Linked DNA regions of Mus musculus: region 1 is reported to be linked to region 2. Evidence: microRNA targets listed by miRTarBase, many of them from high-throughput screens and not tested one by one. Region 2 holds a microRNA gene; the other region holds the end of a gene's coding sequence. Distances are from middle to middle.
What was found. The annotated mature microRNA mmu-miR-343 reads UCUCCCUUCAUGUGCCCAGA and lies in region 2 at 3,673-3,692, shown strand. An mRNA with a match to its seed (bases 2 to 7 or 8) in the 3' UTR can be bound and repressed. Matches are read on the target gene's strand: a 7mer-m8 pairs with bases 2 to 8, a 7mer-A1 pairs with bases 2 to 7 and ends in A, and an 8mer does both.

Region 1: miRTarBase lists Mettl9 as a target of mmu-miR-343. Seed matches in the 3' UTR shown: 7mer-m8 at 3,385-3,391.

The regions. Positions count from the first base shown.
Region 1 is chr7:121,073,110-121,080,872 of GRCm38, forward strand. Mettl9 (methyltransferase like 9) reads left to right here. Exons shown (of 5, transcript NM_021554.2): 5 at 3,021-3,726. The coding sequence ends at 3,226. Igsf6 (immunoglobulin superfamily, member 6) reads right to left here and starts at 1,421. Exons shown (of 6, transcript NM_030691.1): 1 at 1,330-1,421. The coding sequence starts at 1,396.
Region 2 is chr7:19,383,016-19,390,778 of GRCm38, forward strand. It overlaps Mir343 (microRNA 343), which reads left to right and starts at 3,628; the gene lies at 3,628-3,702. It overlaps Ercc2 (excision repair cross-complementing rodent repair deficiency, complementation group 2), which reads left to right. Exons shown (of 23, transcript NM_007949.5): 3 at 929-1,006; 4 at 1,084-1,146; 5 at 1,287-1,400; 6 at 2,608-2,724; 7 at 2,815-2,931; 8 at 3,692-3,815; 9 at 3,917-4,013; 10 at 4,098-4,231; 11 at 4,314-4,482; 12 at 5,125-5,243; 13 at 7,092-7,161; 14 at 7,234-7,303; 15 at 7,384-7,485.

The sequences.
Region 1 (7,763 bases), 100 Mb from region 2:
GGTAGGCCGGGCTAGTGAGGGAGCCCAGCTCTGCCTCCCCATCACTGAGCTGGTGAGTGTGTGCCACCAGGCCTGACTCTTTTATATTGTTCTAGTAACCCTCAGCTTGTACAGCAAGCACTGTACTGAGATATCTCCCCAGCTCCAACACCTGTTATTACTATTAGCATCAGAAGCTAACAATTACTATTATTATTATCATGATATTTTTGAGACAGGGTTACTCTATGTAGCCCTGACTGTCCTGGAACTTGCTCTGTAGACCAGGCTAGCTTTGAACTTAGAATCCGCTTGCCTCTGCCTCCCAGGTGCTGGGTTTGTGCCACCACTGCCCTGCCCAACATTTATTATTATAGAAAATGTCAAACGTACAAAAGTAGCACACAGACCCAGCCTTGCCTAGCGTTCATTAACTGGGGCTTGTTTCAGGTCTCCTCACTATCTCATCCCCTCCTTTTGTTATTATATCTGCAGACATTTCACAATACAGATGGGAAGATAAAGCTTTTCTCTAACTCCAACAAAGCTCTGTACAAAAGTAGTGTATAGTCATGGCAGACAATAGAGCAGTATAAGACATCACCGTGGTTCCTCAGCCAGAAGAGCCACTGTTAACATTTAGGAATAATTCACTCACTCCTCCTCCCCGTGCCCCATCTCCCCTCCCTCTGCATTTCTCCTTTCCTTTTCTTGTGTGTGCTGGAGAGTGAACCCAGACCCTTACATATGCTTGGCAAGTCCTCCACCATTAGGCTACTCTACCATGTATTTACAGATGAGAAAAAAATTAATTACAAGAACATTGGCTCCATTTGTTGCCCTGCAATCCAGATTTAGTGGACAAATCTTAGATTATTTAAACTATGATGAAATAAATAACTTTTATAGTGCTAGAACAGGTAGAGATAGAATTTAAAGATTAGTTATTTTATCAGGTGACTTTTCTCTAGGTCAAGTTACAGCTTTAAATCCAAGTTCTTTTCAGCCTTTAGAAACATTGTGCTATGAAAGTATTAAGCTAATATTGTACAGTGTACATTAGTCCAGAGCTTGCCTGTGTGGGAATTGACTGAGTGACTAGCACAAGTGGTCACAGATTCTCTCTGGTGAGATGTGCTCAAAGCAGCATCAACAACCAAGGGCCGGTAGGAAACCTTTCTTCAGCTATGCTTTAGTACCTAATTCTGTGGGAGAAGTGACCTCCTCCAGCCCCCGACTTACTGTAGTGCTGCCTTCTTAAATTATGTGCTAAGAGCTTAAGTACACAGATAAGGCGAGAAGCAGCGGTCACTTAATGAGCTGGAGAAAAGGAAAGCTTGACCTTCTTACCGACTTGGAAAAGGATCAGGCTGATCTCTGGCCGGAGGCGGCTCCTGCGTGCACTCACGGGGCCCATCTCTGCTGCATGTGCCGCCTTCTCCACTTTTCTCCTTTCAGAAAGGAAGAAGTAAAGAGAGGAACTCATATTAAGGAAGCACAAGCAGGAACTTTTAGAAATTGTGTAAGAATGGTTTGTAATAAGTTTCACCATTTAGAGTTGAGATTTCAGTCTAAGCGTGCGTGTATGTTAGAAACTGCCATGGGCATTTGATATTCTTTGTGGAGCTTGCAGGAGGTCAGTACTCCTCAAGCAGAGCCTGGCATTTTAGAGTGCTCTTACTGATGTGCTCCACTGCAGAGGGCCTCTCAGGGCCAGAAACTGTTAGACGTGAGCAGCAGCAGCAGAGGCCATGTTTCCTGTAGTCCTGGGAGAAAAACCCAGGGAGTGACCAGAGCATCCGGCATGGTAAAAAGGTACACAGCTGCTGTTAAGCTTGTGCGCCTGGCTTGCATTGAAAGATTTCTTGGTGTTGATAAGCAAAATGGCTATGTCCCTTGGTGCTTGCTTTGGGTCTGAGTCACACACAGCACCCCCTCTCCCCCAGCCTTTACTAGTCAAGTGGTTCTTTGTAAGTATCAGGAACTCAGCTGATCAGCAAAAAGAGACTTGTTAACAGGACTTGAAGTGGCTCCTGGAGTCTCAGAAGGCCTGGAGAACCATGTGAACTCCAGGTCAAGAGGAGCTTGAGTCACACTGGGAAACTGGTCTGATGATGGGTACTACGTGCTGCAAATTCTGTCATTAGCACCCACTCATCAGCCCACCTCCCTAGCCACTTGATATTAGTGCTTGCACTTGGCAAAAAGCCTTGTTTTATTCTGGGTCACCAGCTCATTCCAGTCTTGGCAACAGGCTAAGGTGTGGCACCGGTACCCTGCTTCAAGGAAGCCCAGAAAAGCAGCTTCCCCGCCCTCCAAGAACGAACTCCCCTGACAGGGAGAGAATGCAGTGCTGGCCACTGAAACGTGTGTACTCTTCCCTTTCCCCGTGCTCTATCACACGCTGCATCAGAAGCCTCACTATGAATTTAGTGGCATGTCACCACAGCCTCTAAGAGCACACCTAAGTGCACTTTTGGCATTGTCTGTTTGTAGTCAGAGTGTGGCTTGCAGGGAACAGACCTGGCCTGCTTCCCACAGCCCAGGCTCCTACTGCCCATAGGCTTGGAAGGGATTGACAGATGACTTAGGAAATGGGTCAGCTTCTCCTGAAAAGCACTTGTGTTTCTGTGGATAGAAATTTCTCATGAGCCTATTTTAATTTTAAGCCAGGCAACTTCTAGACAGGAAGTTGAGTAAGTGTACGTGATCTCGTATGTCCAAATCTCCTTTCAAATACAAGTGAACCCCATATTCAGTATTCACTGACTAGTTTCTGAGCCACACAGGCAGCTCAGTCAGTGTAGGCTCTGGATGAAGGCAGCCTGGGAACAGCACTGGATGCAGGCGGCCTGAGAGCATCACTTTGGGTAAGTTCTCTCACTCCTTCTAGGCTCTGTCCACTTGCTTTGAAGAGAGTGGAGCTGTTTAGAGATGGTGCACCCAGGGCATCAGTGCCTGGAACACTAGCTCTCCCTGTACTTCCCTCTTTTAGTGAGTCATTGTTCAAGAATTTAACTTAATGTTTTTATTTGTTCTAGTAGGTGGCAAGTGGGAGAAACCATCAGAAATTCTGGAAATCAAGGGACAGAATTGGGAAGAGCAAGTGAATAGCCTGCCTGAGGTGTTCAGAAAAGCCGGCTTTGTCGTCGAAGCTTTCACTAGACTGCCATACCTGTGTGAAGGCGACATGTACAATGACTACTATGTTCTGGACGATGCTGTCTTTGTTCTCAGACCAGTATAAACACGTGGAGGCCCAAGTCCTCAGAGTCACCCCTGCAACCGACCCTCCAGAAGAGGAGATGCATCCAGTGATGTGAGGGGGACCTCTGGGGACTGTCATTCTCAGTATCATGTAGGAATTTAAAAAGCCAAAATACTAATTCTTTCTTTGTAGTGTGTAAGGGAGTGTTTTTAAAAACAAAACCCAACTCTTTGTGTATTTTTAATCAACTCTTTACTCAGAATCACGCTCCAATGCAGGTCACTCTCCAATTATGATGGAAGATATTTTTTATACTTAATTGCTGTAGGGACTCATTCCCAGACAAAGCAATAGTCATGATGTCATGGAACCGATCAATGGATTGTTTTTAATAAATGAAGACTGGCAATAAAGCTGTCCATTCAATTCCAAATATTGGTTATAAAGTAGAACCATTGATAACTTTCATGTTTAGAAACTCCTTCTCTTACTATTCAAAAAATGTTTTTAATCATGCTAATAAACGTTTTTGGAGATGACTCTGGCACCATGTTCTTCTCTCAGACTCTGCAGCTTTGGCTTCATGGATGCCCTCAGTAGGAGCATGATGTGAAACACTCAGGCTGAGCCTGGAAGGAAAGCAAGGTTCAGCTTGGGTGTGGTGCAGAAGCCCAGGGAATTTTGACACCCCTAGAATGGCCTGCCTTACTCAGATATAGTGCTCTAGGAAGTGCCTCTCAGTCAGTGTACCTGCTTCTGGCCACAAAACAGCTTTGTTTTCCTAAGCTTCCTTAATTCCTCAGGATTGAAGCAGTCTGTGGCTTTGACTGACAGGATTCAGCCTAAATAGACATTCACCTTCTTCCACTTCCTTGAATGCCATCTTCCCAGAACTTGGCTTATCCCTAGATCCTTAACTGAGAGTAAGTATGTTTGCTGAAGACCATTACCAGACACCTGCTAGAATCCAAAGTGCTCCCAATAAACCCAGAAACACAGTGATAGAGGAGACCTCATTAGCAAGAACAGTAAGCATTGTGGACACTAGTCCGGAACCTAAAGACCCAGCAGTCAGAGCGGTGACAGTGTGAATGAGGTAGTCACAGTATGTTACCCACGTGTTCATTACCTGTGACCATTACTCACAGAAAACTACAACACCTGGGCAGAGAGGCCAGCATGTTCATTAGGAGCAGCCTTGAGAGCCCCACCTTAGCAGCCCTGCGCTGTTACTGTGTAGTCAGACAAGGGGTCATGGGTCGATGCACAATTGTTAGTGGTGTGGTGTGTTCTTATTTTTTTCCCCAGAACTTTGGGTAAATGAAGTACAGACAGTGGCCTAGTGAACAGAGGAATGCAGCAACCCTAACATACTTCTTTTGCAGTGGAAGCTTGCTTCTTTACCTGGCGTCATCAGGGGCTGCTGTTTTATCCTGGGAGGGGTATTCAGAGCCAGGTGGCTTCAAAGCGCCTCCTGTCTCTGAAGTTGAGGTCTATTGGAAAAAGACCATAGAAAAACAGAGAGCACATGTGTTTATTCATTTTAAAGACAAATTCTCAAGAAAATCAGAGGATCTTTGAAGACCAGTTTATTAAAAATGCCATTTTGTGACTTGGAAACCAGATGCAGATGTATTCCTATGTCCTATCTGGTCTGGGACGTCTTAGTGTGTTGTCACCTTTGGCCACTAGATGGTGATGTTGTTTACCAAGTGGCAATGGTCCACCTCTCATGGAAGCCTCCTTTTCTCTGCAAGTATAATAATGCTGCTTTGTGTGCAGCATTCCTGGCACGAGGGCTTAAACCCAGTGAAGTTCGAGAAGCCGAGAGGAGCTCCACCTGTGGTCCAGCAGGCTTGCCAGTTGACCCTAAAGGTGAGTGCAGAGAGGAAACACGACTTGCACCTGGGATTCCTGGCCCCCTGCACCTGCATTCAAACCCCCTGGAGTGTTGAGAGTGCCGAGGACACAATGCCCCAGTCATCTCCCCCTCGGGCGAGGTCATTAAAACCACTTCTGTGTTTCCCACCTTCCCAAGTTTTCTGTTTGTTGTTTGTTTGTTTTGTATAGCCAGTTTACAGCAGGAAATAAGCTGGGCTGGGAAAGACGTAAAACTTTGGTGTTTCCAGCTTCCTCCTGAAGCTGTGTCTTCATTAACATCGCACAGAAGACAGGCGGTGGGCCCTACAGCACAAAGTTGGGCTGCTCACAAACTTGTAGCTCATGTATCAAAGATACATCAGAGTTGGCAGGAGGTGGTTTGTTAAGCAAGCAGAAGGACTGGAATTTAGATCTCTAGGAAGTCTTGGAGAGCTTGGAACCCCAGCATGTAGGAGTCAAACATCCCTGGAGCAAGGTGGCTCCCCAGCTTATCTGAAACCACAAGCTCCAAGCTCCATGAAAAGACCTGCCTCAGTATATAAAGTGGAGTGCAATTGAAGAAGCTACCAGAAGTCAGCCTTGTACCACAGCACACACAGACCCACACATGTACCCTCACATGGATGTGGGAGAGTACGTGCATACACACACACACACACACACACACACACACACAAGTACAACATAATGGAGGAAGTTCACATTGCATCCACCTGAAGAGAGATTTGTGATGTAACTGGGAATAATACACCCTGAAATTAAACAGTACTACACCGTGAGATTCTAAGGTCTCGCAACTAAATGGATAATGCATCATTGGCTAAAAATGGCTGAGAACAATGATTAACGATTGTACTGGCTGGTTTTATGTGTCAACTTGACACAGGCTGGAGTTATCACTGAGAAAGGAGCTTTAGCTGGGGATGTGCCTCCATGAGATCCAACTGTGGGGGCATTTTCTCAATTAGTGATCAAGGTGGGAGGGTCCCTTGTGGGTGGGACCATCTCTGGGCTGGTAGTCTTGTGTTCTTTTTTCTTTTCTTTTCTTTCTTTTTTTTTTTTTTTGGTTTTTTGAGACAGGGGTTCTCTGTATAGCCCTGGCTGTCCTGGAACTCACTCTGTAGACCAGGCTGGCCTCGAACTCAGAAATCTGCCTCCCGAGTGCTGGGATTAAAGGCTTGAGCCACCATGCCCGGCTAGTCTTGGGTTCTATAAGAAAGCAAGCTGAGCAAGCCAGTGGAAGCAAGCCAGTGAGTAACATCCCTCCATGGCCTCTGCATCAGCTCCTGCTTTCTGACCTGCTTGAGTTCCAGTCCTGACTTCCTTTGGTGATGAACAGCAGTGTGGAAGTGTAAGCCGAATAAATCCTTTCCTCCCCAACTTGCTTCTTGGTCCTGATGTTTGTGCAGGAATAGAAACCCTGACTAAGACAACGATCCAGACTGCAGCTATACACATTTCCATTTCACTTTTTCTGTTCTGTGTAATTGTGCCGTCTACCTTCTAGGCAAGAATTCTAAAATTCAAGTAGTATCTTAATTTTGAACTATTTTAAAAGTAAACTGACTTGGGACTAGTTCTGGGTTTGTAAAAATTAGAGTTATATCTGACTTTGTTCTCATCTAGTTGGCCCTAGTGCTACTGTCTGACGGACCCATCCCATGTTCAAGGCTGTTAGGGTTTTGCTTCTTTTCCTAATAGTCTTTTTCCTATCCCCGATTTCTGTTCAGGATGCCCCACTCCATCGGCTGGTTTTTACTATTTCAAAGACTTTAATTTTGTGTGTATGAGTGTCTTGCTTGCATGATTTATGTGTACCTGGCCCCAGAACTGGAGTTAGGATTTATTGTGAGCCGCCGTGTGGATGCGGGGAACCGAGCCCAGGCCCTCTTGACAGCAGCCAGTGCTCCTTCCCACTAAGCCCCTTCTGCAGCCAATTTTGTTTTTTTTTAATTATCAGTTCTCACTGAAATGGAATGTCATCATTTGCTTTTCCCCTTTCTATTTTTATGTAGTCAAATGCATGTAACAGATTGACAAACAGTCGTTGGTTAGGTGTAGTCCTATAGTGCAGTCTTTCCCTCATCTGTCTCTAGAGCACTGCATTTTGCCAAACTGGAAACTCCACCTATTAAATAACCAACTCTGTACCTTAGGTTCCTTGGGCATATAGAATGATACAATGTGTTTGTTTTCTGTTTTGTGTGTGTGTGTGTGTGTGTGTGTGTTTGTGTGTGTGTGTGTGTGTTTGTGTTCTGTGTGTGTGTGTGTTTGTGTGTGTGTGTGTTTGTGTGTGTATGTTTGTGTGTGTGTGTTTGTGTATGTGTTTGTGTATGTGTGTTTGTGTGTGTATGTGTGTGTTTGTGTGTTTGTGTGTATGTGTGTGTTTGTGTGTGTTTGTGTGTGTGTGTTTGTGTGTGTATGTGTTTGTGTGTGTTTGTGTGTGTGTAGAAACTGGTTTATTTCACTTAGCATCTGAAGTTGCAGCCATGTTTATAGCATGCTCCAGCATTTCCTTTTTAAGACTGAATGCTATTCCATTGTATGGGCATACCACAGTTTGCTTATCCATTTCTCCACTGATAGACACTCAGAGTGCGTCCATATTTCAGCTGTTGTGCACCATGCTGCTGTGGATATGAATGTGTATTTCTTAAAGACTGCTTTCATTTTGGGGGAACAGATACTCAAAGTG
Region 2 (7,763 bases):
AACTGCTCAGCCATCTCTCCAGTCCCTCGTTGTGTTTTCTGAGACAGGGTTTCTCTGTGTGATTTTTGCTGTCCTGGAACTTGTTTCATAGACCAGGCAGGCCTCAAAGTCCCAAAAGATCCACCTGCCTCTGCCTCCTGAGTGCTGTGATTAAAGGCATAGGCCAACACCACCCAGATTTCTTATCATTTTATGTGGGTTCTAGGGATCAAATTCAGGCTGTTAGGTTTGATAGCAATCGCCTTTACCTGCTGAGCTATTTCAACAGCCCTGAACACAAACTTTTTAAAAAAAGTTTTCTTTTAGGTATACTTATTTCCAATGTGTGTATACATGCTACAGTGTGCACGTGAGGGTAGAGTTGGTTCTTTCCTTCCGTGTATGTCTTGGGGATTGAACTCGGGTGATCAGGCTTGGCCACAAGCACCTTTACCCGCTAAGCCATATTGCTGGCCCACCAATGTATTAGCCCTCACAACCTTGTTCCAAGTAAGGTTTATGGAGCTACTTAGAAGCAAGAATGCTGTGATCCTGAGAGGTAAAAGGTTCCTACTGTCTGCTGCTCAGTAAACTCATTAGCTGTGTCAGTAAGAGGGCCACAGAAATAGGGTTCAGCCTGCAGTCCCAGTACTCAAAGTAGAGGCAACAGGATTGCCAAAAGTTCAAAGCCAGCCAGAGATTCTTAGTAACTACTAGGCCTGCATAGCAAGATCCTTTGGGGTAGGCGGGTGAGGAATAAGAATTAACAATTAAAAGTCCAGCAGAAGAGGAGGAGCGGAGACTATCAGTCCTGGGGCCTTGACAGCGATGCCACTGCTGTGTGTGTTGCCTTGCTGTTCCCGGGTGGTGGCATGTCAAGGAGAGTTCCCCAGAGCGTACGTTGATGACAGAGAGCCTGTGTCTTACTACTTCTGTGCCCAATTTTCAGGGTCATGGAGTCCTGGAGATGCCCTCGGGCACTGGGAAGACAGTGTCCCTATTGGCCCTGATTGTGGCCTATCAGCGGGTGAGTGGCCTTCTGAGTGCCTGGAGTGGGGGCTGAGGGGTGGGGCTGGATGGGGCTGAGGTCCCTGTCACCCACAGGCTTATCCGCTGGAGGTGACCAAACTTATCTACTGCTCACGGACCGTGCCAGAGATTGAGAAGGTGGGCAATGCAGATGGGACCCATGCTCTGCCCCCTCCCCTGGGCCTTGGTGGTCCCCCATCTCTGCCCTCGGTAGCCCGGTGGGCAAGGACTTGTGCTTGCCCTGTGGTCCCCACCTAATGCTCCCATCATCTGAGCAGGTCATAGAAGAGCTTCGTAAGCTACTCAGCTTCTACGAGCAGCAGGAGGGCGAGAAGCTGCCGTTCTTAGGACTGGCTCTGAGCTCAAGAAAGAACCTGTGCATTCATCCCGAGGTGAGCCCTGCGCTGTCACCCTGGGCCACTCCATGCAAGCCCCAGAGGGAACCCGTTGTCAGTATGAGTGGGGCTTGCTGCTCAGTTGTTAGGCCAATGCTCATCCTTATGGCTAAGGGTAGCACCTGTACCAGGATCAGAAACTGCTTACATTCCACATGGCACCTCAGACTCACACATTTGACCTGTGACAGGTCAAAATCTAAATGGTAGCTTACTCAAAGGATTGGGTATTTTTATATACAGGCAAAATAAGATAATTTCATGACAGCCTCACGTCCTGCCTGACAGTATCCATTATGTTCATGCCGGTATTCCACAACCCACACACATCAGGGAACCAAAGCCCTGCTGAGCCAAGTGCTTGCAGAGAAAGGCCACTCAGGGATCGTTGTTTTCTGTTTGGGGTTTTTTTGTTTGTTTGGAGAGAAATTGAGGCACTTGTTTTTTAAAACCTTACATGTTTGTGTGTATGTGTGTGCACGTGGCGGTCAGAGGACAGCTTTGGGAGTCTGTTCTCTCTTCACTGTGTGGTCCCAGGTTGAAATCAGGCTGTCGGGCTTGGCGGTAGACATCCGCATTCACTGAACCATCCAGCTGGCCCTCTGCTTGGCTGGTTCTCTGTGATATGGATTGTCCATACAGCCTTGTGTGTGCTAGCAAGCACTCTCCCTACCACTGAGCTATGCCCCCAGCTCCTTTCCACCTTTTGTTTGGTGGGTTGCCAGGTTCCCAGGTTGACCTGTGTTTGTATTCCTCCTACTTCAGTGTCGGAGTGACTGGGATTGCAGGCACCTGCTGCCATGTCCAGCTCTGATGGGATGATTTTAGCCATGCTCCACACTTACAGTACTGCAGGAAGTTCTTTTAGCAAATAGCAAATCAGCCAGTTGTGGTGGTGCATGCCTTTAATCCCAGTACTCGGGAGGCAGAGGCAGGCAGATCTCTGTGAGTTCAAGGCCAGCCTGATCTATAAAATGAGTCCAGGACAGCCAGGGCTATTATACTGAGAAACTCTGTCTTTAAACACCAAAAACCAAACGAACAAAAGACCAAATACCAAATCAGGTGAAGGTTTCCACTGCCCCCAAACCCTAGCTGACGTACTACTCCTGGTGTCTGAGTTTGGAGACCCAAGTTACAATAGCTGATATGCACCACTTCCTGTCTCTGTTTTATGTTGTCCCCTGACACCCCGCCCCCTCAGGTGACTCCACTGCGCTTTGGGAAGGATGTTGATGGGAAGTGTCACAGCCTAACGGCGTCGTATGTGCGGGCACAGTACCAGCAGGATGCCAGCCTGCCTCACTGCCGCTTCTATGAGGTACAGGGAAGAGCCTAGAACTGGTGAGCAGGGTGGGGGCCACGCCAGAGCCGCTCTCCCTGACCCTGCCACCCTCTGGCCTTGCCCCAGGAATTTGACATCCATGGACGCCAGATGCCGCTCCCTGCGGGCATCTACAACCTGGATGACCTGAAGGCCCTAGGGCAGCGCCAGGGCTGGTGCCCCTACTTCCTGGCTCGATACTCGGTGAAGAGTTGTTTTGTTTCCTTATGAGGCAGGATCTCATTTGTAGCCCAGCTGGCCTCAAACTTGGAATAACCCTGCCTCAGGTTCTCAGCTGTCAGGGGTATAGGCATGAGCCACCGTGCCCATCCTTCTGCTGGCCCATCTGTCTACTTGACTCTGTGCTGTTACGTCTTTATGTCTGTTGTCTGGATCGTCTGTCTCCGTCCTAGTATCTCTGCTTTCTTGTGCCTTGCCTGGGTGGTCCTTGATGTGTTTATAAAAAGATAAAGGGGGAGATATGTTCTATGGAGGTGTGGGGAAAGGGGTGCCTCTGCAGGCTCATGCTGAGGCGTCCCTTACCCCTGAGGGACCAGCCACCACACGACAGTATAGTATAGAATAGGGTTTATTCAGGGCATGGGGAAGGGTGTCAAGAGGATAGTAGAGGCAGAGAAAGGCGGGGGAGGGAGGGAGGGGGGGGTTGCCCATGAGCACATGGAGAGAGATGGGGGAAGGGACTAGAGGATAGAGCAGGGGCAGGAAGGCAGAGCAAAGCAAGAAAGCAAGGGGGGGGGGGCAAGAAGCCCCTTTTATAGTGATTCAGGCACACCTGGCTATTGCCGTGTAACTGTGAGGTGGAGCTTAGACAAAAGGCTAACAGTCCTGTCCATCTTTCCACCCGTCGTTGTGTCTGTCTTTGTGGCACCTCTGTGTACCTGGGATAGAGTGGGTGTGGCGGGGGTAGCAGAGCCCAGGGCAACCTCTCCCTTCATGTGCCCAGATCCTGCATGCCAACGTGGTGGTTTACAGCTACCACTACCTCCTGGACCCCAAGATCGCAGACCTGGTATCCAAAGAGCTGGCTCGCAAGGCTGTTGTGGTCTTCGATGAAGCTCACAACATCGGTGAGGAGGGCGGGCATCAGGGTGTGCAGACAGTGGCAGCCCTCTGCCTCTGCCCCCAGGCCTGCCTGAGCCCGGCTTTCATCCCTTTGCTCTTTCCTCAGACAATGTCTGCATTGACTCCATGAGTGTCAACCTCACCCGCAGGACTCTGGACCGTTGCCAGAGCAACTTAGACACCCTACAGAAGACCGTGCTCAGGTGCCTGTCTGCTCCCACTGTTGTGTGTGCCTCAGTGCCCTGGGCACCTGCCTCATTCCAGCTCCTGTCCCATGTCCCCATCAGGATCAAGGAGACGGATGAGCAGCGGCTGCGGGATGAGTACCGGCGCCTGGTGGAGGGCCTGCGGGAGGCCAGTGTGGCCCGGGAGACAGATGCCCACCTGGCCAACCCTGTGCTGCCGGACGAGGTGCTGCAGGGTGAGCTACTCCCCACTCCCCCACCACCCAGCCCCTGCCCCGCACACGCACCCCTGTACCACCTGACTGGGTCTCCCTGCAGAGGCTGTGCCTGGCTCCATCCGTACGGCTGAGCACTTCCTGGGCTTTCTGCGGCGGCTGCTGGAGTATGTCAAGTGGCGTCTGCGCGTGCAGCATGTGGTGCAGGAGAGTCCACCTGCCTTTCTGAGCGGCCTGGCCCAGCGGGTGTGCATCCAGCGCAAGCCCCTCAGGTGCGGCCTGCACGGGGAACCACGGGCCCAAGCCTTGTTGCTGATGATAAAGGGGTCTGGACCATAGATAAGGCTAAGGGGCAGGTCAGAACTGGATGTGGAGGGCATCCATTGGACTGTGTGGTTGGCAGTGAGTGCCGCAGCCACGTGTCCCTATGTTGGGTGATGAGCAGGTGACACAGCCTTTGTGAGGCTAAGAAAGTATGTGGCTATTCCTCCTTGAGCGTTGGGCCCGTGACACTGGCTGGACAGAAACAGAGTGACTGCTAGCTGGGAGTCTTTTTTTTTTTTTTTTTGGTTTGGTTTTTTGAGACAGGGTTTCTCTGTGTAGCCCTGGCTGTCCTGGAACTCACTTTGTAGACCAGGCTGGCTTCGAACTCAGAAATCCGCCTGCCTCTGCCTCCCGAGTGCTGGGATTAAAGGCGTGCGCCACCACGCCGGGCTCTAGCCGGGAGTCTTAACAGGATATTGCGTGTGAGCAGTGAGCCTGTGCACTGTATGTGCTGTGCTCCAGCCTGGAGTGGTAGCTCTGGGGGTCTTCTACAGTATGGGGTAGCTTCACACAATGCCCAGGTGCCCAGGGAAACATGGTGAGAGTCGGGCCTGTTGCTGCTTCCCGCTCCTGACCCCGTTGCCTCTCAGGTTCTGTGCTGAACGCCTGCGCTCCCTGCTGCACACCCTGGAGATTGCCGACCTGGCCGACTTCTCCCCGCTCACACTCCTTGCTAACTTCGCCACTCTCGTCAGCACTTACGCCAAGGGTGAGCTCGCCTTTCTACTGGGGATCTGACAGCAGGACTTGGGGGTCAGCCACATGGGTGGGGCATTAGCAGGGGGCAAGACCATACAGAGTGCCTGAGTGAGGAGCCTCGTGGTCAGATTCTCGTGTTCAGAGAACAAGTGTGTGGGCTGTGCTGTGGCACTGACCAGAAGGACACTAGGGGTCACCTCACCATCAGTGGGGTGAGGAGTCCTCGTGTGTGACTGAGGGCACCAGGGAACCATGGCAGGTTCTGGGCAAGGGATGCACTTGGTGAGATTGTTGCTTTCGAGGTTCATGTAGCAGGAAGATGCAGAACTGTGGACAATGGGGACAGGAGAGTGTGCTGGGGAGAACTATGGGAGGAAGAGGCCAGGATGGAAAAGCATGGCGCTGGGCATGAAGCTCTCAAGGGAGGCAGATACAGACTGATGATCCACAGAGGCCTGCCTCCCAGGACCTTCTGGGTCCGTCACTTGGGTCCATCTGTCATGTTTCCTCTGTCCATGTGTTGTGTGCTGCCCCACCCCCCCACCCCCCCAGCTCCACACTGAGTTTTCAGGCTTATCCCTGGGGATTACTGCCGTAGCCAGGAAACCAGGTCAGCTGGCATCCTGCAGCTGGGCCAGCCTGGGCCTCGGAAGGAGGAGGCCCCCCCCATCAGCCCCACTGCAGGCTGTTGGCAGCTGCCTGCTTCCTTAAGCTTTCAGCACTCACCATGCCCCTTTCTTTGGCCTTTGTCTCTTCCTCCTCCCCCACCTACAACATCACAATCGGTAGAAGCCTCCTTGTCTACGCCTCCTATCACCTGCCTGAGTCCTTCAGCTTTCAGAAAGGCACCCAGCCCACCCTATGCGAGGCCTGCCCCTTCTCTATTCCAGCTGCGCCTGGGATCATTACTCTCTGGATAGCTGTCTCCCCTAGTACAAGGGAGCTCTTATGGGTGGGACTGAGGCTGTGTTGGTCACTGCTGTGTCCTTGGCAAGGGCTGGACACGTAAGACCCGATCATTTTTGCCAAGTGAAACAGAACCCATGAATGTATTCATTTGTTCAGTTAGCAAATGGGGCCAGGCCCAGCACTACTGAAACAGCCTCATCCTCCCCTTCCCGGAGTCACAGCCTGGGGGAGAATGAGGAGCAAAGATGGTTCCAGGTGACCCTGGGAAGTGGAGCGGTGCTGCAAGGAGCCATGGCACTGTCCTCTGGGGCAGGGATTCAGCCAAGTGGAAGCTGGCACAGCAGCTCAGGGCAAGGGGGCCCTCAGGTGTCTCACAGTGGGACTCTGGAATATGAACTATCCTTGTTTTTCTTGTCCTTGGTTGTGAAGTGTTATCCCAGTCATGGTACCCTGTGCTGGCAACAGAAAAAAACCAACAACAACAACAAAAAAAGCCAGTCAGGAAGGCACCCAAGGCCAGGTCCACCTGGTTACCAGCCTCTTACTGCCAAAGCCATTGCTGCTTCCCTCAGGAGCGGCCCTCTTCCCTGCCTCTACTTAGCCTGTGTTGGTGGCAGAGAGGCACGGTGAGGAATGGGAGGGAGGAAAGCAGGCAAATCTTGCTCTTCAGCCTGGGAGAGTGCATGACACCCTTCTGGGGTCATGGGAAGTGTGGAAACTGGCAAACTTGGGGTTCCATGACATGTCTCTGGTTGCTCTGCGGGGACAGGAGTGAGAGCCTGGAGGACAGAGGTGCCTGGGGAATGGCGGGCTTGGCTACCTGCGGGACCATGTATGAAGCCACAGCTCACTGCTTCTGCACCTGAGGGTTTGCAGAAGTGGGCAGGCTGGGGCAGTTCTGTCCCGGGGTGATGAGTGACTGAGACTCCCCGGCCTCTCCCTCCACCAGGCTTCACCATTATCATTGAGCCCTTTGACGACAGGACCCCCACCATCGCCAACCCCGTTCTGCACTTCAGGTGAGATGCAACCCTGTGTGGATGGGACAGGCCCCGCCCTCTGCCCCGTGTGACCCCCGTGTTGTCCCGCAGCTGTATGGACGCCTCCTTGGCCATCAAGCCTGTGTTTGAGCGCTTCCAGTCTGTCATCATCACTTCTGGGGTGAGGACTCTGCTGCTCCTTCATCGGGCTCCTGGTCTCCGGCCAGCCTGCTGAGGTCTCCCTTGCTGTCTCCGTTACAGACACTGTCCCCACTGGACATCTACCCCAAGATCCTGGACTTCCACCCTGTCACAATGGCAACCTTCACCATGACGCTGGCCCGAGTCTGCCTCTGCCCGATGGTGAGTGGGTGAGACCGGGGAGCCGCCTGCCTCCTGGCTTCGACCTAGGCAGCCGGTTACTCAGCTGAGGCTCAGGCCTGGTGGGTGCACCAAGTTACCAAGTGTACGCCGCCACTGGGCTATGGCACATAGACACATGCACACAGTGTACGCTGGTGCGACGCAGGCCTGGGCAGGTGGTGGCTGGCATCATCGTGCTGATGGCTTTGTCATTTGTCACCCAGCTGTGTCTTGAGTAATGAGCCTCCCTCTGAAACCTGGGGCAGAGCTGTCCTCTC